Oryctolagus cuniculus: one gene and its partners. The protein of the gene in region 1 interacts with the protein of each later gene in a pairwise test. Links are inferred from orthologs where the notes say so. Each region holds a gene or a part of one and is shown in the gene's direction. Other genes may lie near its edges.

Region 1 (4,143 bases):
AGGGATTCATTCATCCCCTTCTCTCACACAACGGTGGCCCCTGGTCGGCTTCCCCCTTAGCCACTGCTCTCCTCCTCCCTGGGTGGTCCCCACTGCCTGGGTCCCTGGCCATTGCCCACCTCCCATCTCATACAGAACACAGTCCAGCAATCCCTGCCCCGTAACTGTGGTGGCCACAGCAACAGCATTGAGCTTAGAGAGGAATCGAGGAAATTCTACCTGAAGTCCAGAACCCCAACCCAAAATGTGTCATCTCTCTGGCTGAAAGAAGCTCCTGTGACTAAATAAAAATGAGGGGACTTCCCTCCCCCCCACTCTCTCTTTCTCTCACACACACACACACACACACACACCAAAGGCATCGATCTATTGCCGACCTCTTAAATGTTATCTGCCCAAGGTCAATATTCCTGGCCTGGGTCTGCCCTTAGTGCCCTAATTTGTTTCCTCATTCTCATAGAATCCCCCTCCTAGCAGAGACCAGCAAGCATCCAATCCTTGATCCCTAAGGCTCAACTAATTTTTACCGTTAGCACCAAATCTGCTGACTTTAACCCAAAATGTTGACCCCTAAGTCTAAATTAGCTCACCTGTAACTTGATTCCTAACTCACCTTTTCACTGTTTATCCTTAAAACTGACCACGACAATATCCTATGATCCTTAAAATGGACTTCTAACCTAATTCCTGTTGTTGACCATTAACCTGACCCTGAACTCTTTTAACTCTGACTTACCTCTGGTCATCCCAGGAAACAAAATAACGACCTCAACCTCAACCTCACTTATTTATAAAACGGATCTAAATCACGCCAATAACTCAAGCGTTAACCCCGGCCTTACACCTCCTAAAGAGACCCTTGATTCCCAAACCCAACCCCACCTAAACCCAGACTCATCCACAGCTCTCCAGCCCAACATCCCCGCTATCAGCAAACACCAAAGCCCATCCCCGCCCTGCGCCCCGCGGCCGCCACACTCCTCACCCTTCCCCAAAACCTATTCCAGGCCAAGGACTGCTCCCGCAGAGGAGCCACCTCCCGCAGATCGGCCTGCCGAGACACCCTGGAAGCTGACGTCTCCCCCAGAACCCGCCATAGACGCGCCGCAGTCAGGGGCCGCGCCCGCCCGCCTCCCGGGCCAGACCTCGCGGCCCCACCCCGAGGTTCCGGCCCGGCCCGCCGCGGCCTACCTGCGCTGCCCGGCTCTGCGCCCCGCCCGCCGGCCCTGCTCGTCCTCCGGGCCCGCTCTCCGGCTCCGGCCTCGCCCTCCCTTCGCCACACTCGGCCACTTCCGTCCCCGGCGCGTCCCCCACCCCCGGGCGGCGCCCTGGGCCCGCGCTCTATGGTTTTGGGGACCTGCAGGAAGCTGCTCTGGCCCCAGCTCTCGATGCTCGCGAGCCCGCCGAAGACTGGCAGCCCCTCCCCGGCAGGAAGCCAGGGCGCGGCGCAATCCGGAGAAAACACCCCAGCGGCGCCCGAGTTCCCTGTTACACTCGGACTCTTCCTTTTTTCTAGCTCGGGGCGAAGGCGGAGGCGAGTCGCCGGTGTCCCCGCCCCCGGGGCGGGGACGTCCCCCTCATTTGCATCGCCCCCGGGACGTGGCGCAGCACCCGAGCCACTTCCGGCTCGGAGGGAACTACAAGTCCCGAGAGGCCGCGGGGCCGCGTGCGTCACTTGTGCTGTGTTGGAGGCCGAGGGCGACGGAGTCCGGCGGGTGGGTGGGTCGGGCTTGACAGCGACTGCCGCCCCGGCAGCGGGGAAGGCCAGCCGAAGAGGAGCGGTGGGTAGGCGGGAGAGACCCGGCGGTTGGGCTGGGGGTCGTGCCTGGGGCTCGCGTATTGGAACCGGGCTGCGAAGTGAACCCTTGAGTTTCTGCCGTAGATGTCGCAGATGGAGCTGGCGTTGGACCCTGGCGATCAGGACCTGCTCGGCTTCCTGCTCGAGCAGAGCGGAGCATGGGGGGAGGCAGCCGATGAGTCGGTGGAGGCGCCCCCGGATTGGGAGCTGCCGCTTTCCGAGGTGGGTGGGTAGGGCTCCGCGTCAGGGAGGCGCGGCACGTCCGCGAGACCCGGGTGTCAGTGACAGGCCAGGGCCTGGGAATTTGAACCCGGTGCAGGTACTGAGCGACTGGGAGGCAGAGGATCTGCTGAGCACCCTGCTGAGTCCCCCGGCGTCGTTGGCCGACCTCAGCTCCTGCGAGCCCTCGCCTGTGCACCACGATCACACTTACTCCCTCCCACAGGAGCATGTCTCCGTGGACGTAGGTGAGTGACATCAGAAAAGTTGGGAGCTAGAGGAGAGGGTCCGTGGGCCCGGCTAGTCACAATTGCCCTTTTGCAGATAGTGGGAGCTATGGGAAGGAGGAGGCTCCGATGACTCCGCTGTATGTGGAGGAGCCAACAGAGCAGGTAGCTGACTTGATTTTCAGGAGGCTTATCCCCACATTGCACGGGGCGGGGCGGGGCGGGAATTCCCATTTCTTTCGGACATCCCCATGCAACTGCTGCCTACTTCCCCGTAACCTCAGGAGGTTGCTAGGCTGGTACTGACCGAGGAGGAGAAGAGGCTACTGGAGAAGGAGGGGCTTACTCTGCCTGGAACGCTTCCTCTCACCAAGGTAAGGCTCCCATTGGTGGGGCAAAGGCTGGAGGGTGTAGGGGAGGGAGAGTGCAGAGAGGCTGGTCGACCTGTACCGGAATGCAGTCAGATAGGAGTCACTTCTAACGTTATGCTTGGTAGCAGCTGCATTTCAAAATAGCTAGCAGAGAGGATATTCAGTTTCTGATTCAAAGAAATGATAAATGTCTGCAGTGATACATGTGCCAGTTACCCTGCCCTACTTATTTTTACATTGTATACATTACTTAAATGTCACTCTGTATCCTATAGATGTGTGTAATATCAGTGTCAAAAATAAGATACACTTAAGAGGTGAACATCTTAGCAGAGTTGTTGGTTAATATGCTAGATGCAAGGGTGGATCCTGGTTTTGTGAGGCTTCTAACACATTTTGGTGTTCTAAGAAAAAAGATTTCAGAATTATCAATGCAACATTAGCGTAGGGCCTTGGGCAGGACTGTGCAAGGGAAGGGCTCTGCCACTTGGAGTTCATCGGCTTGGTGGTAATCTACATCGCGCTGAATGGGAGAATTGTTTTAGGGAGTTCAATGAGGCTGGATTAAGCCTTCTTTTTTTTTTTTTTTTTTTTTTTGACAGGCAGAATGGACAGTGAAAGAGAGAGACAGAGAGAAAGGTCTTCCTTTTGCTGTTGGTTCACCCTCCAATGGCTGCTGGGGCTGGTGCACTGCGCTGATCTGAAGCCAGGAGCCAGGTGCTTCTCCTGGTCTCCCATGGGGTGCAGGGCCCAAGCACTTGGGCCAGCCTCCACTGCAGAGAGCTGCAGGCCATAGCAGAGAGCTGGCCTGGAAGAGGGGCAACCGGGACAGAATCCGGCGCCCCGACTGGGACTAGAACCCGGCGTGCCGGCGCCGCAAGGTGGAGGATTAGCCTAGTGAGCCACGGCGCCGGCCTGGACTAAGCCTTCTAACAGTACAAATGTAGAAGCATAAGTTTTAAGTTTCAACACTGGGTGGTGACTTCACAAGCACAGTATTGTGACCCTGTAATAAAATAAGTACTTATTAAAGAAATTTTAACTTCTTAAAAGTACAAGATGAGTCAGCAGTGAGATATGGCAAAGCAAGTGGGATGTGGAAGCAGCGTCAATACATGCATTGTCTCTAAAAAGGCAAGACTGTCTTGCTGTCTTTTGTACAAATCACAGTGCATTTTAAGTGCCCAGTTTTGGGCCTGTATCTTTGACAGATACCAAGAGGATGCAGTGATGGTGAAATGTTGGGTTAAGAAGTCTGTCCAGGGTTTTTTTGTGTGTGTGTTTTTTTAAACTCTGAGGAAATGCCAACAGCCTTAAAACAGCTATGTAGAATTTTGTTCTACACGACCCCAGAGATAAGTTCAATGGATAGAAATTACATGGAGGCAGATGTTAATTCAGGGTAAGAAATTTTTCAGTGAATGAAATTGTTAAAAATGCTCTGGCACCTGTGATCTTAACACCTGGTCTTTAGAGGCATTCTGATGGAAACCAAAATGGCTACTGGTTAGGGAGGCTAGACAAGGGA
Region 2 (4,124 bases), on another chromosome or scaffold:
CTCATTCTGGCTCTGCCTTTCCTGAGCCAGTCACTTCTGTTGCTCCGGAGCCTTCCGGGGCTGAGGGGCGAAGGCCACAGTTGGATGAAGGGCACCAGTGGGATGCTGGTCCTTTCGCCCTACTTGAACTTAGCCTGGATTTGTCGAGTACCAGGGAAGAGGCGGCAGCAGAGGGGTCTAGGGTGTCTCTGAGCCTCCAGCCACAAACCCTCCCCTGGCCCATCCAATGGCCAGGTGGTAGCCACAGAAACCACTTTGTACCACAGGAGAGCACGGGGCCTGCATTTGCCTCTCCGGCCCCCTGCGTTCTGATGACGCCTCCTGGTGAGGGTGGTGCCTTCTTCCACAGGACGGGAGCCGCAGCAGCTGCATGGCAGCAGATGCCCAGCCGGGAAGGTACGGCCTCGCCCTGAGGACCAGAGACCGGGGTGGGGGCCCCACGCTGTTCCCTGTGACTCCCCAGCTCCTGCTGCAGAGCCAGGGCACCTGCTGAGGACACCTTCACACTCACACACTCCACAGTCCCAGCTGGCCCCTGCAGCCACACGGAGCCCAGTGAGGACAGGACGCTGGTCTGTCTGGGCGTTTGCTGTCCCCAGCACCCAGGACAGGGTTTGGCATCTGCCAGGGGGCTAAGCCAGCCCTTGGTGGGTAAATTCGTAGGTCCAAGTGGCTGTCACCATCATGCGTGTCATGCAGCCTCTGGCCTGGCCTGCAGTCATGGTTCCACCAAGCTTGTGGCCCTGATTCTGCCAAGGGGCATTCAGTAGTAGCTCCATGGGGCCCGGGGCCAGTCCTGCCCCAACCCTGAGCTCCCTCACTGCCTCTTGGCTGGATCCTGGCACTGAGCAGTGACAAAGCTCAGCCCTGCATGAATAGGGGGAGGGTGGGGACAGGCGACGATGGTGTGGGGGTCCCGCAGTGGATGTGGCCCAGGGGAGACACGCCAGGAGCCTGGGGCCTGAGAGATAGGAGCCGTGTGAGGAACCCCAGCCCTGTGAGCAGACCTCTGGCTGGAGGACCCTGGAACTGACCACAGAACTCCCCGCGGGGGCCGAGGCTGTGCCGAGTGGAGGATGTGCAGTTGGCTCCCTCTCTGGGCTGGTTAAAAGGCACCAATTACCTCAGTTCACCCAGGCTCCTGAACAGACAGGGCCGCTGGCCACCAGGGTGACAAGCTGCCCCCGGGCTACTCTGTGCTTACAGGCAGTGGGGTGCACGTGGCTGGTGCAGCTCCTGACCCCACCCCAGCTGGCCGCCTGCCCCCAGCACACGCAGATTTCAGAGGCGTCCCTCCCCTCCCTGGCTGGGGAGGAGTCAGCACTGCTGGGGCAGAAGGGCAGCGGGGAGGGCAGGTGGAAGCCGAGCTGCCCGGAGCATCCCAGGCCCTTGCTGAGCGCCCAGCTGGGGCCCTGCCCGGATCGCCTTCCTGCACCGGCACAGGCAAGGGGGCTGCACCAGGGGCTTCCTGCCTGCTCTCGGCTGAGTCCTGATTCCTGCTCTGCTGGCTGCCCCTGGGCCGTGGGTCTTCTCTCCCCGGCAGCTGTCGGCTCCCTGGCTCCCGGCTCCTCTGTAACTCCCACCTTTCTGCTTTGTGGCTGCAGAGCCAGCTGGCGCCCACCTTGGCGGTGTGTTTCCTGCCAGCCTATCTCCCCGTCTCGGGCTGGGGCGCTCTCTCTTCCTCTGCCCTGCGCCTGCAGCCCTGCTTCTCCCCTGCCTCTCTGCCCTCGCGGTCTGCCTGCCCCCCCCCCCCCCGTCCGCCCTTTTCTCTCCTCTCAGGGACCTTGGGCTCTGGGTTGAGCTTCTGCTCCTTCTGTCTCTCCACTAACATGTGGCCATGTCTCAAACTGGCCCCGACAGCCCCACTGCCCCCACAGCATCAATACACATTGCTCCCCGGGACTTGGAGGGGCCCTGGGGTGGGGCTTCCTGCCATCTCGTGCCTGCCCTTGACCCGGCACGGAGGGCGGCACCCAGACAAGCTCCCTCTCTGTCCACGGAGGCCTGGCGGCTCTGGGGCATCCCTGAAGTGACGCGCAGTGCTGGGGCCCCGGAGCTGCCGGCTCCAGACCTGACACGGCTCTTGGGTGGGATTGGGGATGCCAGGCAAAGCCAGGTCATGGTGCCGTCTCCAGGGAGGACTGTGCCACCTGGCTCTCTCCAGCCCCCTGAGTGGGGCCAGCTTGGAGGAATTTCCCAAAGCCTATTAGAGCAGCGGCTGCCTCCTGCCTGCCTCCTCGGACTGGGCAGGGAGGAGGGTGGAGGGAGCCAGGGAGGGAGGGAGGGAGGGAGGGAGGGGGAGAGGAGGAAGGAAAAAAGTTGGCAGGCGGACAGCAGAGCCGTGGCGGCATCTCGCCCCAGAGGAGGCCTGTGCGGTGCGGGGCGGGCCAGCGGCAAGGAGAGGCCTTTCCTCCCTTTGTGCTCCCCGCCCCCCGTCCACACCCCCACACCCCCCCCCGCCCTATAAATAGGCCCCGGCCAGGCTGTGGCTGAGCTTGCAGGCAGTGGAGCCCCAGGCAGCGAGCCGCCTCCTGTCGAGCCCCCAGCCAGCATGGCCAGCGAGTTCAAGAAGAAGATCTTCTGGAGGGCGGTGGTGGCCGAGTTCCTGGCCATGACCCTCTTCGTCTTCATCAGCATCGGTTCTGCCCTGGGCTTCCAGTACCCGGTGGGCAGCAACCAGACGGCCGTGCAGGACAACGTGAAGGTGTCGCTGGCCTTCGGCCTGAGCATTGCCACGCTGGCCCAGAGCGTGGGCCACATCAGCGGCGCCCACCTCAACCCGGCCGTCACGCTGGGCCTGCTGCTCAGCTGCCAGATCAGCATCCTGCGAGCCGTCCTGTACATCATCGCCCAGTGCGTGGGGGCCATCGTCGCCACCGCCATCCTCTCGGGCGTCACCTCGTCCCTGCCCATGAACTCGCTCGGCCGCAACGACGTGAGTCGCGGGGACCCAGGCGTGTGGGGAGTCCAGCAGAGAGGAACTCAGCCCCATCCTCTGCCCATTGTGCAGATGGAGACGCTGAGGATCCGAGAGGACCAGAGGTTGCTGAAGGTCATGGAGAGAGCTGGGGCTGGAGCTCAGCTGTGCCCGCTTGCTGCCAGGCGCTGTGGGAAGCTGAGCTCCAGAGACTGGTGGCTGTGCCAATGTCCCCTGCAGGGCATCTGCTGCGGGCATAAGCTCTGGGAGCCGCTGGCTGTTTGGGCCAGCAGTTGTACCCCCGGGGCTGTAGCTTCCTGGCCCTCGTTTGCCCTGCCTGTGCAACCGGCTCCATTCTCTGGAGCCCTGCCCCTGGGCAAGCTCTGCCCGCTGCCCTCAGCCACGCTGAGCCAGAGGGTGGCGTATCTGTGACCAGTCCTGCGAGTGGGGGAGCAGGAATCCCCAGGGGAGCCTCCAGGTGGCCCCCTGTGTTCACACAGGTCCCCAGATCAACTGCCCCCTGTCCTGGGAGGCAGGCCCCTCTGCAGCTCTGCTCAGGGACCTGGACAAAGATAAGGGAATGGAAACGCTGTCCCGGGCTGCTGGAAGGCGGCTGCCCCAGACGGCAGCATGGGGTGGGGGCAGGGGCAGGGGCTGGCGCCACCATCCGGGGCGTGTTTATGTGTGTGTGACCATGTGTGTGTGCACCTGCTGGCCGGTGCGGTCTCTGAGCCTGTGGAAGCGCTGTGCCCACCTGTGCCCAGAGCTCCTGGGCCAGGGTGGGTAATGGCAGCCACATGTTGGCAGCTGAGTGGAAGCTGCCCAAAGGATTGCTCCCTGATGGCTTACTAAGCATGTCTGAGTGGCTGTTGGTGGCAGCTGCCTGTGGTCATAGACCTAGGCTTTTGCAGTTCCTCGGCCAAGTGCCCGGGCCACGGCAGGGGGCCATTTGGCCCCAGTGGCTGCGTAGGGGCTGGAGGGTGTCTCAGAGGGCTGGAGGGACAGGCAGGCAGGTTTGGGGTGCAGAGAGGAGGCACAGGATCCAGAGAAACCAGGCTGGCAGGACAGGCAGCTCGGGACAGAAAGGTGGCTGGCAGAGGCTCCTCAGGGGTGGCGGGGGTGGGGTGGGGGGTGGATTGGGATTAGAGTCTGCACACTCTGCAGCTCAAGTTCAAGTCCTGGGAAGGGGCTGGTGCTGAAGGCAGCT
Region 3 (4,148 bases), on another chromosome or scaffold:
TCTCACGGGCTCTGTTACCTGGAATCCTCCCCATTTCCCTCTGCATATTGAAACCAGAGCCATCTCTCCAGGTTATCAGCTGGGGCAGCATCTTCCGACCACAGATGCTACACTGTGTCACTTCTTGACAATAGACTACAAACTGCTGGAAGGGAGAATCTGGGTCTGATTAGTAGGTCTAGCCATCACCTATCCTCAGGTTGGAAATGGAGTGACTGCAAGATCAAAGTAATTAATCTTCTGTCCCATTTGATCTTTGCGGATCTGAAAGTTTTTGGAGATAGGGTTACCAGGCTTAGCAAATCATACACAACACCAAGTTAATATCTGAATTTCAGATAAACAATGAATACTTTGAAGTAACACCTGGACAGTAGATACTCCATTTTGGAGCAGATGAGACTCCATTCTGGGAAGGCAACCCCCCCTCACCGTGAGACTCTGGTCTGAAACGATGATCTAAAATAGTCGGACAATAGCAGGCCACTACATCACACTTGGCAAAGCATAGAAACCCTTTAGCATGATCGCTCAAGCTTAGAAGTGGATAGGCTGCACCTGGGTTAATGATAAAATTGTAATTTGTCTATGTCCAATTTAAGCCAATATCTGGATTAATGTCAAGATTATAATTGAAATTGTTAAGATTGTAATTGGTATTGTCAAGATTATAATTGATACTAGTTTCGCATAGGTTTTAGGTTTGCTTGACCCCAGTAACCATGTATTGCCCTCCCGATTTTGTGGTTTTTGCCTTTATAAACCCTGTTGCTTTGGGCTTCAAGGTCGAGAGTTCTTTGGGGCATGAGCCCACTCAGCCGCCGGCAATAAAGGACTCTAAAATGTGTGTGTGGTGGTCCTCTGTCAGCACTCGCTCAGACACAACAATTTATTTTAAAGATGTACCATTAAACATTCGCGACATACCAAAATTGTTCGTTGTTTATCTGAAATTAGCATGTAACTGGGCGTCCTGAATTTTATCTGCCACCGCTACTTGGAGGACAGGGGTTGCCCGAGGAGCCGGCTCTTTCTCTGCAGGTGCTCAGCGTCTGTGTACCGGTTTAGAGCGAAACCCGAACCAGTTCCGCAGTTTACACAGCTGGCGCTGGTAGCCGGCAGACACCCTGGTTGGGGATTGTTACCCGAGGCTGGCCAAAGGGTCCGCACCCAGGAGGCAGCTCCACCGTGTGGGCTCTAGGGATCCTCCAGACCTGCTCCGACACCCTCTCCGAGAGACCATCCACCCTACCTCCATCTCGTGACCCGTCATCACGGGCCTGGGGGCGGGACTGCTCGGCTTTTCAATCGTGGCCTACCATTGGTGACCCTTCCATCCATCACTCTAGGCTCCGCCCATCAGGCTGACGAGTCCCAGGTTACGTCCTTCCCGTTGTCTCCGGCGTAGCTGCTGATTGGTGGAGAAGGAGGCAGCTGGCCCCGCGGGGGCGACGAAGGGACTGGCTCTGGGAGTCGGAACGAGCCGGAGCGCGTCACCCCCTTCCCGCAGAGGTAGTCGCTCGTGTCCCGCGGGCTCGTTGTGTCGCCCCGCAGTGCTGCAGCTGCCGCGGCACCATGGCTGTGCTCGTCGTGCTCCTGTCCGTGTTGGTGGCGGGTGAGGAACCAGGGGGCGGGCGGGGAGGCTCCGGGAGGCCCGAGCCGCGGGGCTTGGGGGTCGGGGGCCACCGCAGGTGGGCGGCTGCGGCGGCGGGGCGTGTGCCGCAGTGCGGGGAGCCGGCTGCGGCCTAGCTTCGGCCGCCTCCCTCTCGGCTTCTCTCCGCCGGGGCCTGTGGCGGCGCGGCCTGAGCCGGCCTCCACCCTCCGCCTCTTTGAGCAAGGCGCCTCCGCCCGCCGTGTCGCCGACCTCCGGTCAGCCCGGTCTCCTTTTCCGGCTCGGGAGGCCCTATCGGAGGAGGGGGATGCGTTTCTCAATGAACCGTTGAATCGCAGCCCGCTGCCAAGGAGCCAAGGAGAGCAGGCAGACTTCCTAACCGCCATGGTCGGCTGCCTTTTATTTTATTTTTATTTTACATTAATGCGGTGCCTTAATTTCTAGTAGTTGTTATCAATAAAGGATAAAATCCCTTCCCCTCCCTTGTATATGTTTCGGGGCACAGAAATGGAGATGGAGTCATTGTTTGCATGTTTTTTTTGTTTTTGTTTTTTAGGCGAATACAAAGCCCCTCTCATGAGTTTGTCACAGTTCCTAATTTTAAGGATTTGGAAACTAGGATGTGAGTCACCTCTTTAGGGTCACATGTCAGATAAATGAGAGCTAGCAGAACCTGGGTTCCCTACCATTTAGCAAGAGGAGTGCAAGTCCGCTAATAATCTGGCCTTTTTACTATGTGTCCTGGCACCGCGTTTTATTTTACAGCAATCTGTAGAAGAGGGTATCAGCCTCGTTTTGCAGCGCGATCAAGCCTACATAACCTACCCAGCAGCCACAGGTAGCTAAGTAGCAAGGCTGGATTTGAATCCAGGTGTGCTGGCTGCAAAGGGTGGGCCCTTTGCATGCTATGCCTTGCGGCGCACGTCCTGTCAAGTGTGTGAGAATGCGGGGGTGGTGGGGGTTAGACTGAGGGCACAGACAGTAGTAGGGAAGAAGAGGCCGAGTTGAGAACAACTCGGATGAACAGGTGCTGTGGTCCCCAGCATGTCACCGTCAAAACCTGTGGGAGGCCTGTGCCTCTGCTGCGCGAGCTACTGGGAGAGGCTCCTTTTTACAGTGGTGATTTAATCCTGCGTGGGCTGTAGACCAATGGTGTTCTGGAGGGCTGCAACTTCCCTCCTTCCCCGGCGCTGCCCAGGCTTGTGTGTTGATGACCGTTGTTTCATTTTCATGCCCCCAAACTTTTAGGGTCCCTATTTGATTTCTTTCATTGCTGTTTCTTGCTCTGGAAATGTCATTCTGATCTGTTGGCATACTTTGGGGGAGTTTTTAAAAATTTTCATTCAGTTTTTGAAATCTGCCAAGTCTTCCCTCCGATACTGTAGTTGAACTGAACGTCTATTGACATTCCGTGTCTTGATCTTATGTCTGGTACTATTTTGAGTCAGGGAGGTAGGTCTAGGTTTTTCTGTTTGCTTTTGGTCTGACATAAAGTAATTGCTTCTGTATGAGCATTGAACAGGCTTTCTGGACCAGAATGGTCAAGTTTCCACAGACCAAGGCTCTGATCCTGCGAGCTTCTGCTTTGCCCAGTCTTGTCAGATGAGGCTAAATTATTATTTTCCACAATGACTAAATGTGATTTCATGAAACCCACGGTTAGGAGCTCTGGCTTCTGCATTTCAGAAAAGAATAAAAATCCTTCAAACAGTGTGACCAGACTAGAGGGAGAACTAGGGAAAGGGGGAGGGGGACACAAAAGAGATAGGGAACTTGGGTTATGAATACCAGGTCATGAGGAGTATTTGAAAGCAATCCAGATGTTTAGCCTGGAAAGGAGAGGTCAAGGGCAAACACATGGGGTTTGAAGGGACGTCATGTAGAAGAATAGGTCCATTTGGTCACTGCTGCCCTGGAGGACAAAAGTAGGAGCCATTTTTTGGGAAATTAGTGATTGATTTCACCCCCCAGTCATAGAAGATCATAGCTCAGGCTGGTGGAATGCCCCAGGGGAGGGACACATCTAGCTGGCAGGGGTGGCGGGGTGGCAGTGGAGGGAAGTTCCCTAGGAGAAGTGTATAGTAGGAAAAATATGAGAGGCGGTATGAAGGCAAGGCAATTTAGACCAACAGCATGTATAAAAAAAAAAAAAAAACACAGAGATATGAGAACAAAAGAGCAGATAATTTGGTGGGGCAGGGATGTATAGGCATTGAGTTGGGAGGTCCCAGAAGCAAGGTTGCTGAGGTAGGTGGGGTTTGGGGAATTTTGCCTCGCGAATGAAGGCATTTAAGTAGAAGAGTGATCTGGCAGATCTGTGTTTAAAAAGGTGGTAGGAAGCCGGGTCAGAGAGTGGCATGACAAGGACTTGAAACAGGCGTTTTGTCACCAACCTCAGCAGGCCCTGAAGAGTGTGCACCGCACACTTAGTGGGGAGACACTAAGAAAACAAGACCGACAGAATTCAGTGCTTGGTGAATGGCGGAGCGGAGGGAGGGGGTAAGGATGGATTCAAGCAGCTGAGAGGAAGGCGCTG
Region 4 (4,028 bases), on another chromosome or scaffold:
GAGGCAGAGAGAGAGAGAGAGAGGGAAAGAGAGAGGTCTTCCACCCACTGGTTCACTCCCCAGATGGCTGAAACTACTGGAGCTGAGTTGATCCGAAGCCAGAAGCCAGAAGCCAGGAGCTTCTTCTGAGTCTCCCACATCGGTGCAGGGGCCCAAGGACTTGGGCCATCTTCACTGCTTTTCCAGGCCATAGTAGAGAGCTGGGTCAGAAGTGGAGCAGCTGGGACTTGAACCTGCGGCCATATGGGATGCTGGCACTGCAGCCTGAGGCTTTACCCGCTACACCACAGCGCTGGCCCCTTTCTCACCGTTTAAATAAGCTTTATCACTTGGTGCAGCCCATCTGTGCCTGCCCTTAGATCGCTTCTCTAGGTAGAAGGCAAGGGCATGGACTAAGAATGTAGACCCCACTCTGCCACATCATGAGGTCCCTGCCCAGGAGCCAGGGCTGCAGGGGGCTGGAGGTCACTCAGGATGGTGAGGGCAGCAGCCTGGACTCCTACTCATGACCTCAACTGAGCCAGTGCGCGGGAAAGGGCAAAGGTCTCTTCAGGGCAGACTCCACCCGCAGCCACCCTGCTGCCCGGAGGTTACTTCATCCCTTCCAGGTCAGCAGAGGGGACTCACTCTGCCAAGGCCTTTCTCCCCCTCTTTCTCTGGAGGAAAGGGTCAAAGCTAGCCCAGGATGCTGCGAGCCTGGGACCTGTGTATGTGGAGCCACTCTTTGGAGCCCCGTGCCTCCCGGCTAGGACCATGGATGGACGGCCACTTTTCCGTCCTGCAGCCCTGCAGGGTCTTAGCAGCCCACTTGCAGCGGGGCCTCAGCGAATCAAGAGGCAGCTAAGAGCCGCTCCCTGTGTTAGCCTCCCAGCAGCGAGGGCAGGGCTGGCCAACCGGGGATGGGATACACAGGCGGGCCCCTGACGCCACCTTACAGCCCGGCGCAGGAACCCCACTGGGAGGGTCTATGCCGTGGCACAGGCGGCGGAGCGGCGGACACCGCCTGCGAGACAGCGCCACCCGCCACCAACAGCCGTCCCTTGCGAGGCTGACGTCCTGCCTCGGCCCCGCGCCGGCGGGCTGGGAGGGGCTCCCTGCCGCGCGCGTCGTTCCGGCCGCCTCCGCGGCTCCGCGGGCCTCTGCTCCAGCTGGCACGCCCCGCGGGCGCCTCGCACCAGCTCCCTCGGCCTCGGACAGCAACGCGGGGGGCGGGGGACACGTGACCCACGCGCTAAATCGGGCGTAGGAGACGCACAGGCCTGAGCCTGGCCACCCGGCCCTGCACAACTCACCAGTGGACAACCCCCCCCGCCACGCCTTTGTGAAATCTGCAAGCTCTTGCGCCCCCAAGACCCAGATGGTTAGGAGGGTGCCCCTTGTCTTGGGCTGCAGGGCCAGTGTTTGGATCCGGAAGGAAAACAGGGGAATTCTTCGTGGGTGGGCGCGGAGGGCCGCGGGTCCCAGGGGAAGGTGGCCCCAGGGCAGAGTCGCCACTCCTCGCCTCGCCTCGCCCCGCCCCGCCTCGGCGGGACCGAGTCCTCCGCACCCCATAGGCAGAGGCGACCCTCCCCGCCTCCCCGCCTGCTCCGCGCTCGCCCCGCCTCGGCTCACTTTAAAAGTTTAGTCCGGCCGGGACGCGGGGCGAAGCAAGTCATGGCTGTCTACGCCGGGATGCTGCGCTTGGGGAGGCTGTACGCCGGGAGTCCGGGGGTCCTGGGGGCCCGCGCGGTCCTCCCTCGGGGTTGGCAGGAAGCGAGGCTGCAGGGTGTCCGCTCGCTCAGGTAGGGGGGCTCCGGGAAGAGAAGAGGAGGCACGGCCCCCGGGAAGGGCTCTTGCGGGGGGGTGGGCCCCGCAGAGCTTGCTCCCCATCCCACTCGAGCGTCGCAGCCCACGGGTGGCGCGCCCCGGGGAGTCAGTGCCCCCTTCCCCGCACCCGGGCCCCGGGCAAAGCAGGGTCTGGGGCTGCTGCTGGCAGATTCGGTGAACCATTACCGCCTTTCTGGGTTCTAATCCCCTTCTGGGTGCACGCAGAGGCTCCCGGCATGGGCCTGTAGCAGTCTGCCCTGAGGGGGAGGGGCGAGGGCCACGGCTGCGCCCTGCCCCCACCACACGGCCTCTGCGCCCACCCTCTTAGAGGGTAACTCTGGGGCTCGGCGCCACCCCACCCCCACCCAGGCCACTGCACCCAGCAGTGTCCCCTCTGCCCCTCAACTGCTGAGAAACACTGGTTTCCTTCCTGGCTTCCTACTCCTGGGCCCGTTTGCTTCTGTCCTTGGGTGGGGGCTGGCAGGAAGGCAGAGGATGTGCTGGGCCCGGGAGCTTTGCTGGGTCGGCAGCAGTACAATAAGTAAGCCTGCCTTCCCGGGGTCGCCGGTTGTTGCAGGATCCCACGAGATTGCAAATGTGGAAGTCCCGGCCGGGCCAGATGCTGTTAGGGTGGTGTTATCGCCTGCGCCAGCAGGGGGGAGGCCTGCGCTCTTCTGAGCCAGTCCTGCTCCCAGCCCAGCCGGGAACTAATCTGCGGTCAGGACATTTCTGGTGTGGGTCACAGCCGTGGGGCCGGGGCCTGGGCATGGCACCGGGACAAGAGGCCTGAACAGGGCTGTGTCGCAGAGGACTAGATTTGGTATTTAGGGGGAAAAAACGCAGATCCTTTTTTGGCAAGATCACGACATTTTGAACTCGCTCATTCCGGAGAGCTAGAAAGCAGGCTTTGATGTTTCATATCACCGCCTAATTGCTAGAAAACGCTCCGTGGGTGCCTGCTGGCCTGTAGATTCCGATGGAGAGAGCTGGGCCTGCTTCCACTCCTCCCTCACCTTCCAGCCCCACCTTGGGATTCCTGGGTGCCTGGTCTGCCGTGAGGACTGGAAGGAGAGTTATCCCCCAAAGTGAACAGAGTTTATGATGCTAACGCAGGCCGGTTGGGCCACAGAGTGACATTTCTGACTGTTGATTTTGTGGGTGAGTAAGCTAAACCTCTAAGCCTATGACCTGGGGGGGGGGGGCAGACCTTAGTGATAAGAGCTCCTAAGCTCCAGCCTAACTTCCGGTCTGTCCTGACCCCCCCCCCCCCCCCGCCCCCACCACGCTTGCGGCTGACTGCTGGTTTTGCCTGGTTTCCCTCCTTCGGAAGCCTCTGGCTGGCAAACCTTCCACAAACACTGTGTGGAGCACCTAGTGGGCGCGCTGGGTACAGGCGCTGGGCCTCGGTGCTCAGCTTTCCAGGAGTTTGCACACCGGTGGAGGAACCTCCAGGGACCGCTGCTGAGTGCTGCGGGAGGCTCCTGGCTCCTGTCCTCTGCTGTTTCTGATTTGGTCACACATAGCCTGCTCTGCTGCTGCCCAACCCAGGCCCCCCGCCCCCAAAAAGCTGTTCCTTCTCATCTCTGGTTTTTGCTTAGTGAGCAGAGAGCCAGAACACCGAAGCCAGATGGTCTTGAGTGACAGCCCTGGCTCCTCCCCCGACAGTTGCATGATCTTAGGCATTATTGCTGAGCCTGGTTGGTTTGACACTAATACTCCCTACTTGACAGGTCATGGGGCTGATGGACAAAGCTCACTCTTCTACCCAGCCTGTCCTCCGAGGTAGGGCTGCTGCTCCCTGAACCTCCAGGAATGATGCCTGGCTGGGCGTTCCAACCACTTTGAAAGTGACAGAGGCTCCCCTCCTCAGGGGTCTCTTTCTTGGACCTGATTCTTCCTCCTGGCCAGTTGCCAAGATGGTGGCTTCCAACTGGACACGAGTCGAGTCCTCTATCCAAGACAGGGCTGTCCATCCTGCTCCAGAGCTCCCCAACCCCCAACTCCTTCCTCTGTCCACACTCCTCTTTCCCAAGGGAGGTGGGTGGGCTACTCTGGGGTTCCAGGGAGCTGCAAGGGAGGCATCCAAGGGGAAGTCGGGGATGAGCAGCTTCCTCCAGACCTGGCTCAGAGCTGGCCGGGGCAGCCTGTGCACAGCCACATCTAATGCTGGGGAAGCTCCGTGCAGGAGCGGACAGAGAGCACTGGGGTTGAAGCCTCCAGAA
Region 5 (4,246 bases), on another chromosome or scaffold:
GAGCCCCCACTACTGCCCCTTCCATGGCTCCTGTTCTCAATCAGCCTCCAGTCCCTTTTTAGGCCTGGAGTTTTCAGCAGCTTCTCACTCTTGCTGGGGGCCAGCACCTCGGCATTCCTCCTTGATTCCCTTAACCCTTGTGCCTTTGTTTAAAAGCCTCTTCAAAACCCCAGCTGCCAATGGAGCCTGATTCCTACAGGATCTGCTTGTTAGACGAGAGGGCAGAAGTTGGTGCTGGCCAGCAGCCCAGTCACTGCAGTTAGCAGACCCTATTCAGTAGCAGGTGGAGTCCAAAGTACAGATGATCTGCTAACGGACAGAGCACCTGCGCAGGGGGCAGTGAGGTCCCAGCTTTTTAACACAAGTCCATGTCTTCAGGATGGAGCTTATTTCTATGTCTCTTGACTCTTCTGACTGGTGTGTGTGTGTTTGTGTGTGTGTGTGAGAGAGAGAGAGAGAGAGGGAGAGAGAGAGGGAGAGAGGGAGGGAGAAAGGGAGGGAGAGAGAGAGAGGGGGGCAAGGCTGCTCTGAACAGAAGCTTCAGAGCTGAGATTTTGGACCAACACAATTCTATGCTCACTAAACCAGAAGTTCAGATCTATGGAGAGACTCTGTGTGTGTGTGTGTGTGTGTGTGTGTATACTTTCCTTAGGAGAGGGAGTGTCTCTGATCCTTCCCCTCAAAGGTAAATAATAGGAGCCAAAGCTTACCGGTGCTGGCTCTGTGTTAGGTTCTGAGCGCTTTATTTGCCTCAACTCTCAATCCTGGCAAGAACCACATTAAGCGGCATGTAAGCTATGCCAAATTTCCGGATGAGGGCAGTCTGGCACAGAACCCACGGCGCCTGAGGTCTTTTGATTAGGCGCCCTCTGAGTGGGGATGAAGAGTCTGGTTCTGGAGTCTGCTGCTACCCCTCCACTCCCACCCCCTCACCACTCAATACCGTCACCATGTCTGACTCTGGACCTAAGAGAACTGTGTGTGTGTGTCTGTGTGCGCGCGAGATCTGCACGTGCTCAGAACCTAGCGCCATGCCTGGCACGCAGTCGAAGGTGCGGAGTTATTTGTTGACTCAGCGACGAAATTTTACCAGGCAGAGAGGACGGGGGCAAGTCCCAGCAACTGACAGCTCCGGGGGTATCAGACAGACTTTCCTCCGTGGAACTTCCTCTCCACAGCCCGCTCCCCAGCCAGTCTCAAGAGCTGGTTTGCCTCTGCAGGACGGGGAAAGGCATAGCAGGCAGCGCCCTGAACAAACCAGAAAAACTGCCTTGCGTCGCTCGGGAGCACGCGGCAGGGCACGGTCGCAGCCGCGGGAGCCTGCAGGGGCCAGGAGGGCCTCCCTCCCTGGGTGAGCGTTGCCGCTCACCTGCCTCGCCCCTCCCGCGGCCCGAGGTCTGCGGCGCGCCCCGCCCTGTGGGTGGAGTGTGAGCGGGGTGGGGTTGGGGGGGGGGGCAACCTTGGACTTTGCGCCCTCAGGTGTGTAGGCGCTGGCCGCGGGCAGAGCAGCTCAGCCCTCCTCAGCCGGCCCATGGAAGCGGCCGTGTGCCCGTCGGCCCGAGACGAGCTGGAGCTCTCGGTGCTCGGGGGGCAGTCAGACGAGCAGACGCCTCTCAGTGGAGAGGTCACGGTCATCTCGGCATCGGTGGAGGAGGCCTGCCCGCCGCAGGTGAGGTGCCCGCGGCGCGCCGGTGGGACGGGCCCGGCAGCTGGGAGTTTCGGGGTTCCCGAGCGTTCTCCGGGCAGCTTCCGACGCCCGGGGCTCGAGCCCGCCCGCCCGCCCGCACCGGCCCCTGCGCCGCCCGCGACCCCGCCGCGCTCCGGGAACCCCAGTGCGGGGTGTGGCCGCGCCGCTCTGGAGAACCAGACTCCCCCGGGATAGAGCTGGGCTCTTTAATGAAGTTTATTTTCTCTTTCAAGTAGTGAGAACGAGGGTCATAGACGGAGTCAACTCCTTTCCTTAGGATCTCGCCCGCCTCCTTTCAACCCTCCAGACCTCTCCAACTCCGGCCCCCACCCCGCCTTCCGCTCCCTAGCCCCCATCCCCCACCCACCGTCCTCGCTCCTCGCCCCAGACACGAACACTTTCTGTCTTCTCCCGGCCTGGCCTTCGGATTCCGCCGAAAGACGGAGAGGGGAGAAAGCCGCAGGAGCCAGGGGCCTGGAGCTGGCCTGGGAGGGGGTGAGCTCGCTGTGTTCACATCAGAGGAAATATTTGCAAAGTTCTTGTCCCAAGGAACCAAGCCCCCTCTGCTGTCGCCTCCTTTGGATCCCTAAGGAAGTCCCTCGTGATGTTTCGACCGAGCAGTTTTCTGATTCAACTCCAGCGGTGGTGGCAACAGTATAGGCTCCCATCAAATGCTTGTAAAACATCAGAGACTTTGAATTCTGGGCCATCCTTGTGATTAACTCCCACCGCTGGCTTGGGGTTTACTGGGTACAAGGAACTGTATAAAGAGCCTGATGGCACCAGGCCCCACTCCTCCGTCCTGCCCCTTTTGGCCACTCAACTGTTGATTTTGGGGACAAACAGGAAATCCAGAGGTTCAGAATATGGCTCTGTATGCTTTCCTGAAAAGCTTGCTTTTACTGGTATCCTAGAGAGTACTTGGGCACTTTATGTTTGAATGAAATATAAACACCTGGGAAGAGTGAAGAGTGTACACCCATGGTCTGATCGCCAGGCCCAGTGTCTTCAGCCATACAGCATTAGGCAGAGGTTTGGGAATTGGAGATCCCTGTTTCACATTAGAGAGACCCAGGACACCTCAAGTCTCCATGTTTTGAAACTAAGTCCAGTGATGAGAGTTGTGGTGACAGCTTCACCACTGTAAGCTGTGGTCCAGGGCCAAGGCTGTCAAAAGTGGAAAGGGAAGGTGCCCAGCTGGGCATCTGTGAGACCTGGCGGTGCTTGGTGGAAAACAGTTGAATTGTAGAACGTGATACCCATGTAGGTGTCAGTGTTTTCCAATTGGTTAGCACCTGCCCCGTAGCGATTGCTCTTTCATGTTCTAAAGACTTCCTTGTTTGTTAGGTTATACAGGTGTCCTGGATTTCCTTGTGAGGTAGCTTTGTAGGTCTCTCAGTATGAAAGCTCTGGTGAGCAACAGAAGGGAGTGAAGGCCAAGGGCTATGTGAGCACTCGAGGACATTCTAGAAATGCCTGAGCAGGAAAAATCTTTAAAGGTGACAACCCATCACCCAGTGTGGTAATTTTTTTGTTTTGTTTTGTTTTGAAGAGTGAGCTGACATGCATTTAAACTCAGGAAAGTCAATTAGTGTAGGGTCACTAAGCATACTGGCTTGCACAGGACAGAACTCAGACGCTTGAGAGTTTTCTGTTTGGAGCTGCTTAAACTGTGTACTGATTTCCATTTTCAAATGCAGCTTAATTCCCTATATTTCCATTGTGCACCTGTTGCGTACCTACATATGCCAAACACCTGTGATACATAAGTGCATTTATGAATGTTGTCAGTGTTGTGATTTGACAGGCGAGGAAACTGAAAATTGAGCCTCTCAATGCCCAAATATTCTCAGTGCTGCCTCTGAGGTTTGAACTCAGACATTCTGTCACCTACGCTGTTTCTGTTGGTTTAGTCTCGATCATTTAAATATATAATGTGACTTATAATTTGTACTCACTTATTGTAGTTGCCTAGATTAGATATTGCTAATTTCTTTAAGTTAGGTAATTTATAATTGTAATTTAAGTGAAATAGGAGTATGGAAAGAGTTGGTGCTGGATGAGTGGATGGGTGGATGTTGAGGGGTAGGGAACGGTTCTGGGGTCACAGGAAATAGACATCCCACCCTGTGATGTCCTCCTGGTTGGCACAGCTGAGCTGCAAGAGTATGCAAAGACAGTGGAAAGAACTTCTTTTCCTCTCTTGATCTAGGTTTGAGGACTGGGGGAAAGGGATACAAGCCATAGAACTCTGCCTGCTGCCACTCTGAACACAAGGTCAAAAGTGGAAAAGAAATTATGGTAATGAGGTGGGACTAGTTTCCTTCTATGGCTCATACGTGGGCTCTGACTCAGGTTTCAAATAGAAATCTCAGAGACATTTTAAGCGATGACAGCATCATTAGAATAATATTAAACCAGTAAATTGGTGCTTTTGAGGTAGGCAAGGCTTATGGGAATGGGCTACCTAAAAATTAGCTCCATTGCTACATATTGTTCGGTTCAGGATAAAAATCAACTGGCTCTTTTGTGCTTGGATCAAACAGCAAGTGCATTAAA
Region 6 (4,285 bases), on another chromosome or scaffold:
CTCTTGTATTTCTGAACCAGCTTCCTGCTAACGCACTCTGGGAGGAAGCAGGTGATGGCTCAAGTACTTGGGTATCTGCCAACCACGTGGGAAAATCAGGATTGAGTTCTGTGCTCTTGAGTATGGCCTGGCCCAGCTCTAGTTGTTGTAGTTATTTGGTGAGTCAACCAGTAGACAGAAGCTATCTCTTTCTCTCTAATAAGTGACAATAAAAATTTTAAAATAATAATCTTTAAATAAATTATAGAGAAGGCAATTCTTCGCTGAGACAAACTATAGAGTTTTAAAGATGGCTTCCAGCTGGTTGTCTGCGACTTCAATCTGCAGAACCCTGAGGATACAAACGTACACCTCTCCCCTTTGCTAGGAGGGTTTCGGTGGGTAAGCCGGAACGCTTAGGGCAGGGTTGCAATTCGACCAGGTGCAGCTATACAACAAGCGCTCTGAATCTCCACACTCCGCAACCCAAGGCCGGCCCCCGGGGGTCCCCGCCCCACTCGTGGGGGAGGGGGCGGCGCGAGGGCAGCTGTCGTCAGCCCGGGCCGCACACCAGGGGCAGATTCGCAGGAGCGGCAGCAGTGGAACTGCTTATTCGGCCACCACCGCGTTCAACGCTGTCTGCCATGGCTGGGGAGTCTCCCAACGGCATCTTCATTTTCTCAGGCCCGCCTTTCCCGGGCTGGTTCGCCTTCCTGCGCTCCGCGGGGCGGCCGCGGCTCTTCACAGACACCCTGCAAAAGGGGGTCTGTCCGCGACAGCCTGCGCCCCCCCAACGCCCACCCCGGCCCCTTCCCCGAGAACGGCCTCGTGGACGAGCAGCGCGAGGGTCTGGCGTTGGTTGTTACCGCAGGATTCCCGCACCGGGCCCGCCCGTCACAGGGCTTCACACCACAGCTGCAGAGGCTCGCGCCGTTTTTAATGAAATTCCTGACATCTCGGAATTCATGCAGCTTCCCTTCAGCCCACAGTCTCTAAGCCTCGGGCGACGCTTAGTCACCACCTACATCCTCAAACCTAGACCTGGGAACGCCAAAGCGGTGAGAGACTGTACCAAAAAAAAAAAAAAAAAAAAAAAAAAGAGGGGGGAGCCGGTCAACCCACAGCCAGCCCGCCATGGCCACGCGCCTCGAACCTTTTAAGGGCTCCGCGAGAGCCAGTCAGCCAACTGCTCGACGTTCCTCCAATCCCCGCGCCTCCCGCCGCTAGCCCCGCCCCGCGCTCCTCTCGGGCCAATAGCTGCGGAGCATCTTCGCTCGCTCGCGCGCTCTCTCTCCGCCTCTCCCGCCCACTTCCCACCCGTTGCAAGTTCGAAGCCTTCAAACCCCGCCGGCGCCCAGGCGCTGCGGAGGAGCCGGGTGTATTTTTAGCCTCCCGGCGAGTAGCCCCGCCTCTGGCCCCGCCTCCTCGTCGTCCCCAATGGGAGACGGAGTTTCCGTCGCGTCATCGCGCGGGCGGGCAGGAACTGTCCAATCAGCGTCCGGAGAGAATTGGCGTAATTAAAAAGCGGCGGAAGGAGGTGGGAGGGTCATGACGCAGCGAGTTTCAGTCTTGACTTTTCCGGGAGCATTTCGGCGTCCCCGTTTTTTCCCTTTAAAGTAGAACGTTGCCCCGACGCATCCTCCGCGCCTTTACAGGGGGCGGAGGCGGCGAGCCGCGGCGGCGGCGGGAGGAGCGGCGCTGACGCGGGCCCTGGCGGAGGGGGCGGCCGCGGCGGGGCGGTCACGTGGCCGTGTTGTGGGGGGAGGGGCGCCGTCGCGCGGTCGGTTCCGGGCGGTTGGAGCGCGCGAGCGAGCGAGCGAGCGAGCGAGAGAGAGCAGCCGCGCCCGCCGCCGCCCCTGCCCTGTATGCCGCTGTCCCCCGGCGCGGCCGCCGCCGATCGCAGCAGCAGCAGCAGCAGCCGTCGCCGCCGCGGTTGATGTGGTTGGGCCGGGGCTGAGGAGGCCGCCAAGATGCCGCAGTCCAAGTCCCGGAAGATCGCGATCCTGGGCTACCGGTCTGTGGGTGAGTGGCCGGCGCCGCGCGGCCTCCTCGCGCCGCCGGGGCCTCTACCTCGGCTGGGTTGCGGGGATGCGGCCGCGCCGACGAAGTTTGTGGAGCCGGCGCGGCCGTGGGCCGGGCGGGAGGGGGGCCGCGTTTCGTAACCACCATTTTGAGCAGAGGTGGCGGCGGTCGGGGCGGCGGCGACCGCGCCGGACCGGGCGATGCGGGAACCCGCGCCCTGCGGGGCCGGGGCGGGCAGGTGGCGGCGGGGCACGTGGGGCCACCGGGCGCGGAGGAGCCCTAGGTTTGCCGAGGGCGCGTTTGGCGGCGGTGGGAGTCGCTTGCCGCCCTGCCGGGCGCTCCCAGCAGGTGGGACTCGCACCTGCCTCCCTCTACCTTCGGCCGCCGGCGCTCGTGATCCCGGCTGCCGCCTTCCGCCACCCCGGCCTCCAGTGAAGTCCGTGGGATTTTGACAAAGAAAACGGCACCTTGGGTCCTTTAAATCTGTGAAGTTCAGCCTGAAACACACACATACACACCACACACACCTCCCCCCCCCCCCAGGTTAGAGTTTGGTTACTGAGGGCAAGTTCCCTACCAAAGAAACCTAGAAAAGCCCCCAAAGAGACCAAAAGTGCTCCAGATACTCTTGGCGGCCAAAATAGGAAAGGAGAGAAAATTTTCTCGTCTCTCGGTGCCCTATTTTTCTTAGGGGAAAAAAAAAAATAATAAGGTCAGGTGCCTGTATTCAGGCTGTTGGAGTGATTCGGAAGTCTTCTCTTTTTTTTTTTTTTTTCTTAGGAGGTCGGCATACATTTGAAACTGTTTCTGGCAGTCGCTGCTTTGCTGGGTAGAGGGAGTCGGGGGTTGGTGCCCTGAGTGTCATACTGGGAAAAAAACAGAGCCGTTGAACTTGGGGGCGGCTTTGTTGTCTCAGACAAGCCGATACCTGGAGAAAATACGTTTATGTTGTCCTGCTGGTTTTTTTTAAAAAGTAACTGTCGAAAGACAGTGTGCACCTGAGCACGCTGCGGGGCGGAGGGGAAAGCCAGCGTTTGGCGGCTCTGGTGGTGGCCGCTGGAGGGAACCGTGGCTGCCGGCGCTCGGCAGAGGAACTCCCCGGCTGTGCGTCTCTCTCGCTGCCTCACCCCCACTTTCCACCGCCCGTGCCAGGGTCTGTTCGCTTTGACCCAGATCGGCTACAGCATGCTTACTCATCCCTTTACCGTCTCTCCGGGGGGAGTCCGGAGATTCGGCGGTGGGCGGGAATCAGAGGTGGATGAGCTGTGTGGATATGCCTAGCCCGCAGTCCCACATCAGAGGTCTGGACGCACAGATGGAAATAGCAGGTGACAGCCCTAACAGCTGCAGCCGGAAAGGCGCTCCGCAGTCCGCTTTCCAAATGCCAGTATGGTCCTGTGATCTAAACTTTATCAGCAGCCTGAGGCATCTTCTTGCTTTTCTGTGTTCTCCGTGTTTCCTTGTGTGCGTTTGGAAGAGAGGGTCTGTGGCAGGTGTTGGCTCTTGAGTGCTGTCTGATCAGATACATAGTGCTGACCAAAGATAGGAGTCTCGGAAGAACGAGCTTACAGTGATGAGCACTTAGTCTACCTGGTTTCTTTCTTTTCTTTTTTTGAGCTTATTTGAGAAGCAGAATTACAGAGAGACAGAGGGAGAAGTCTTTATTCTGCTGGTCCAATCCCCAAATGGCCATAATGGCCAGAGCTGGGCCGATCAGAAGCCAGGAGCTTCTTCCAGGTCTCCCACTTGGGTGCAGGGGCCCAAGGACTTGGGCCATCTTCTACTGCTTTCCCAGGCCATAGCAGAGAGCTGGATCAGAAGTGGAGCAGCCAGGATCGAACCTGCGCCCATATGGGATGCCAGCGCTGCAGGCAGTGTGGCTTTACCCCCTATGCCACAGAGCCAAGCCAGCTACCTGGTTTCAACCCAAGCAAATGGCCTGAAGGTTATGACTTAATTTACCCTTTGACGATTTTGAAATGGCGACCCTAGTCTCCAGTGAGCAAGTCCAGTGTTTTATCACTGTTAAACTATTTAAGCACTGTGCTGCTAACTTAGCCTCCAGTGGGATGCATAGTAACTCCTAGTATGTTGTATTTCTACAGTATGTCATATTTCTACAGCCTACTCCATTTTCTCCATATTTATTTTCAAGCATAGTGAGATGAAAGTACATGAGAAATTAGCTCCAGTGTTGTGTTTGCTTTTGACGTTATTTGCGTCTATTATGATCCCCGATGCTTGGTAGTTTGTGGGGTTTTTGGGGGGAGGGAGATTGGCCTTC
Region 7 (3,500 bases), about 180 Mb from region 1:
TGGCTGACTCAGAGGAGACCCGCTCCGACCACCTCCCCTAACCGTTCCAGCTCAGGCCAAGCCCCCTGCGGTTGTCTCCAGCGTAACCCACCCTCAGATCTTCATGGCCCTTAACCCGGCCAGAAAATCCAAACAAGGGATGGGCTCTGGGCGCCGTGGGAAAGACCCCGCTGGAGACCCGTGCATGCCACGTCAGAAGCCTGTATGCTAGTGCAGGCTCCACTCACAATGCCAGCTTCCTGTGCACGCGCCCCCTGGGAGGCAGCACGTGATGGCTCAAGAGTGTGGGTCCCCGCCCCCCACTCAGGAGACTCGTATTGAGTTCTGGGCTCCTGCCTTCAGCCTGACCCAGCCCTGTCTGTTGCTGGCATTTGGGGAGTGAACCAGAGGACGGAAGCTCTCTCTGATGCATTCTCTCTGTTTCTCTTTCCGTCTCTCTCTCCCTCTCGTATAAGCAATCAGTCAATGCACTCTGGATGAGCATACTTCCAAACATTTGTTGGAAATTCACATTATAAAAAGAACTGCATGGGTTAAAAAAAAAAAAACTACTACCAAAATAAGCTTATCCTTGATGTCCCATTTCCATGAACTTTCTAAAGTGCCTTGGGTTCTTCCCTTGTTGTCCCCACGTCTCTCCCCCACCCCCCGCCAGATGTCAGGGCTTGTCTGCCTGCCTTCTGCTGCCCCAGGCGTGAGCACAGCGCCCAGTTAGGGCTTTGCTGCCCGGATGCATGAACAAGGCTCGCCCCTGTATCCGTGCATGTGCCCATGTAGCAGTGCCAAGTGCAGGGCCCTGGAGTCTGCTTATTTCTAAACCCCAGCTGCAGCCTTGGCCCTGGTAACCCCGCCCTTGAAATGGCCATGGCTCGCGCCACTTGGAGACGGGGTGGGTCAGGCCCCCAAGGCCCGGAGAGTGGGCAGGAAGTGATGATGTTTACTGTGATCTGGACAAGAAGGAAAGTGATCCGGCACTAGGCGGGAGTGGTCCTGTTGGGGGCCCTAGCAGGGGCTGCCGGCCAGCCGGTGGTTGGTTGAATTAAAAGTACTTGCAGCATTCACTGGGCTTTTGCACTGTTTGGCCAGCAGGGGGCTCAGCAGGACCCAACTGCAGCCCCTGTCTCACTCTGCAAGTGCTAAGGAGATGAGGTCGAGCCTGGGCGTGCGCTCAGCGTATGTCAAGGCTGGGGACGCATCCACAGCGGGCGGGTAGCTTGCAAGGGGCCGAGGGAGCCGGTTCCCGGTCGGGTGGCAGGAGGCTGGTAGGGGCAATCATGGTGGACCCCAGCACCTTGAAGCCGAGGAGGGAGAGGGAGGAGCACACCCGGAGCCTTGGGCCGGGTCTTTGTGCACCTGCTGGGCCTGCAGGCTCTGTCCTAACCGGTTCTGGGCTTACTAACGAGCGGCCGTGCTTCTGCTTCCTTAGAGACGTCCTCCAGCTCGCTCAAGATGGGAGCCTACATCTTCATCGGCGTGGGGGCGGTCACCATGTTCATGGGCTTCCTGGGCTGCCTTGGCGCCATCAACGAGGTCCGCTGCCTGCTGGGGCTGGTGAGTGCCCGCCCCTGCGCAGCCGCTGCCCGCCCGCCCGCCCGCCCACCTCCCCCGTCCAGCCGAGGTCTGGCTGGGGCATTTCTCCCCCGGTCTCACGCCAGGCCTGCTCTGTGTCCCTAGTACTTCGCCTTCCTCCTCCTGATCCTCATCGCCCAGGTGACTGCGGGGGTCCTCTTCTACTTCAACGTGGGCAAGGTAAGCCCCCCGTCTCCCCCAGCACTGCCCCAGACCAGCACGCACACGTAAGGGATTGGCCCTGGGTGTCGGGGTGATCGGGCGGGCATGGCGGAGGTTGTGGGATTGGATTGGAGGGGGCGCATCCTCAGGAGGCAGCTCCCGGAGGCAGGGTCACTGCTGGGCTGAGCCGTGCCCACCGTACTGGGCCACTTGCTCACTGTGTGGCCTCGGCCAAGCTGCCTGCCCTCTCTGTGCCTGCATCGCTGTCGGTACAAGGGAGACGGCGTTGTCCTATGCACTTGGGGAGACCATCTCCGTGAGACACTTAGCACAGGCGCGCGTGGCATGGTAACGGTTCAGGAAATGTTCTTCCATCTTGCTGTTGCTAAGGGACCTTGGGAAGCGTCACATCCAGGGGACCCATGCGTCACTGGGGCCCAGGGAGGAGCCTGTTGTTAAATCGTGAGTCCTGTGTCGGAGGGGAGCTGTCCAGCTTGCGAGAGTAGAAACCCAACAGCCCTTGCTCTGGCTTCCCAGGACGGGGTTTCCAGGGGCGGCTGAGGAAGTGACTATTTGACTGTGAAGACAGAGCACAGGAGGGAAAGGGCCCCGGGGAAGACCGCTGGGTGGGCCACACTCAGCTGCAACTGTCCCCATGATCCTGTCCGGAGCGGCTGTGCGTGCCATAGAATCTTCTAGAAGCTCTAGAGACACTGTCTCATCCACACGACCGCTCTGCTGGTGAAGTTCTGCCTTGGCAGGTGGAGAAGCAGCTGCTCCGGGAGATGAGTGACAGGCGCGTCGATAGTGGTAACCGGAGCCTGTACCCTCCGGGCAGCTGGCCCCGCGCAGCCATCAGCTGCCAGGGACAGGGTGGGTCACTCTCTCAGCTTCGTCCTCCCGCTGGCCCTGCCCAGGTTACCGCCAGGCCGTGGGAGAAGCTCCATCCCACAGATGGCTCCAAGGCCGGAGCCCACCCTTGCCTGCACTCCACTGCACTGCTGTCCGTGGCCCAGCTAAGCCTTGGGGGTCCTGCCTCCCTCCAGGGCCGGCTGCCAGCACCGGCTACCAGTGCCTGCCCACCCAAGGGGCTAGCAGAGCACAGCGGGTGGCCAGACGGGCTCCTGCCTTTGGTCTCAGATCCTGCTTGGAAGGGAGCCGAGCAAACACAGTATCAACAGCGACCCCTAATGGTCGTTGCAAGACAAGGCAGGCCTGGTGCTAACAGCACTCAGCACACAATGCATGTGGTTATTCGTCCGCCAATGCTGTGCGACTCCGGGTACTCATATACCCATTTTCAGATGTGGAAGCTGAGGCCCAGAGAGGCGAAGGAGCCTGCCCCAGTTCTCACAGCTGGTCAGCGGCAGGGCCAGGAAACAAGCATTGTGCTAGCACCTGTCTGAAGCTGCTTTGCTTATGTATCGTCTACACCCAAGATACGCATGGCCCTGCAGGGTTTAAATTGAGCCCTGAGCTTCCTGGCAGGCAAGGCAAAGGGGGAAGTAGAGGACTTGGTAGATGAAGACGCTCATCTGGCTATTGGACAGGAAGCCAGCGGTTAGGGAAGGGAAACTTGTTTCCAGCAAGAGGGTTGCGGGGTCCACTCTTCATGGCTGCCTGCGGCTTCTCGGGCACCCCGTCAGCTGCGAGGGGAGGGGCCTGGCCCTGGGAGCTGAGCCCCCATGACTCAGAAGCTGCTGGCCTCGGTAGGGACCTCTGGCCGCCCACCCCGTCCCCTGTGTGACTCACTGTCCCGCAGCCCCAAA

Evidence for each region.
Region 2: the proteins of CREB3 (region 1) and AQP1 interact in binary tests that used the Homo sapiens proteins (3 or more experiments, as listed by UniProt). The two-hybrid records come from large-scale screens. The link is inferred for Oryctolagus cuniculus from reciprocal best matches to the Homo sapiens genes CREB3 and AQP1.
Region 3: the proteins of CREB3 (region 1) and ATP6AP2 interact in a two-hybrid assay, tested with the Homo sapiens proteins (2 studies listed by BioGRID and IntAct). The two-hybrid records come from large-scale screens. The link is inferred for Oryctolagus cuniculus from reciprocal best matches to the Homo sapiens genes CREB3 and ATP6AP2.
Region 4: the proteins of CREB3 (region 1) and ACSF2 interact in a two-hybrid assay, tested with the Homo sapiens proteins (2 studies listed by BioGRID and IntAct). The two-hybrid records come from large-scale screens. The link is inferred for Oryctolagus cuniculus from reciprocal best matches to the Homo sapiens genes CREB3 and ACSF2.
Region 5: the proteins of CREB3 (region 1) and C4H3orf52 interact in a two-hybrid assay, tested with the Homo sapiens proteins (2 studies listed by BioGRID and IntAct). The two-hybrid records come from large-scale screens. The link is inferred for Oryctolagus cuniculus from reciprocal best matches to the Homo sapiens genes CREB3 and C3orf52.
Region 6: the proteins of CREB3 (region 1) and RHEB interact in a two-hybrid assay, tested with the Homo sapiens proteins (2 studies listed by BioGRID and IntAct). The two-hybrid records come from large-scale screens. The link is inferred for Oryctolagus cuniculus from reciprocal best matches to the Homo sapiens genes CREB3 and RHEB.
Region 7: the proteins of CREB3 (region 1) and CD82 interact in a two-hybrid assay, tested with the Homo sapiens proteins (2 studies listed by BioGRID and IntAct). The two-hybrid records come from large-scale screens. The link is inferred for Oryctolagus cuniculus from reciprocal best matches to the Homo sapiens genes CREB3 and CD82.

The regions. Positions count from the first base shown.
Region 1 is NC_091432.1:198,639,729-198,643,871, forward strand, and holds the start of CREB3 (cyclic AMP-responsive element-binding protein 3), read left to right. Parts: upstream 1-1,343; coding exon 1,344-1,781; exon of another isoform or gene 1,782-1,785; intron 1,786-1,882; coding exon 1,883-2,020; intron 2,021-2,117; coding exon 2,118-2,265; intron 2,266-2,341; coding exon 2,342-2,409; intron 2,410-2,528; coding exon 2,529-2,618; intron 2,619-4,143. UniProt on the Homo sapiens protein: Endoplasmic reticulum (ER)-bound sequence-specific transcription factor that directly binds DNA and activates transcription. Plays a role in the unfolded protein response (UPR), promoting cell survival versus ER stress-induced apoptotic cell death.
Region 2 is NC_091447.1:22,123,360-22,127,483, forward strand, and holds the start of AQP1 (aquaporin-1), read left to right. Parts: upstream 1-1,324; 5' UTR 1,325-1,443; intron 1,444-2,471; 5' UTR 2,472-2,551; coding exon 2,552-2,935; intron 2,936-4,124. UniProt on the Homo sapiens protein: Forms a water channel that facilitates the transport of water across cell membranes, playing a crucial role in water homeostasis in various tissues.
Region 3 is NC_091453.1:26,459,492-26,463,639, forward strand, and holds the start of ATP6AP2 (renin receptor), read left to right. Parts: upstream 1-1,348; 5' UTR 1,349-1,575; coding exon 1,576-1,615; intron 1,616-4,148. UniProt on the Homo sapiens protein: Multifunctional protein which functions as a renin, prorenin cellular receptor and is involved in the assembly of the lysosomal proton-transporting V-type ATPase (V-ATPase) and the acidification of the endo-lysosomal system.
Region 4 is NC_091448.1:26,333,293-26,337,320, forward strand, and holds the start of ACSF2 (medium-chain acyl-CoA ligase ACSF2, mitochondrial), read left to right. Parts: upstream 1-1,228; 5' UTR 1,229-1,653; coding exon 1,654-1,781; intron 1,782-4,028. UniProt on the Homo sapiens protein: Acyl-CoA synthases catalyze the initial reaction in fatty acid metabolism, by forming a thioester with CoA. Has some preference toward medium-chain substrates. Plays a role in adipocyte differentiation.
Region 5 is NC_091435.1:68,130,444-68,134,689, forward strand, and holds the start of C4H3orf52 (TPA-induced transmembrane protein), read left to right. Parts: upstream 1-1,446; 5' UTR 1,447-1,531; coding exon 1,532-1,669; intron 1,670-4,246. UniProt on the Homo sapiens protein: Has a role in LIPH-mediated synthesis of 2-acyl lysophosphatidic acid (LPA). LPA is a bioactive lipid mediator involved in different biological processes, and necessary to promote hair formation and growth.
Region 6 is NC_091438.1:22,310,807-22,315,091, forward strand, and holds the start of RHEB (GTP-binding protein Rheb), read left to right. Parts: upstream 1-1,485; 5' UTR 1,486-1,949; coding exon 1,950-2,001; intron 2,002-4,285. UniProt on the Homo sapiens protein: Small GTPase that acts as an allosteric activator of the canonical mTORC1 complex, an evolutionarily conserved central nutrient sensor that stimulates anabolic reactions and macromolecule biosynthesis to promote cellular biomass generation and growth.
Region 7 is NC_091432.1:21,096,396-21,099,895, reverse strand, and holds part of CD82 (CD82 antigen), read left to right. Parts: intron 1-1,426; coding exon 1,427-1,551; intron 1,552-1,674; coding exon 1,675-1,749; intron 1,750-3,500. UniProt on the Homo sapiens protein: Structural component of specialized membrane microdomains known as tetraspanin-enriched microdomains (TERMs), which act as platforms for receptor clustering and signaling.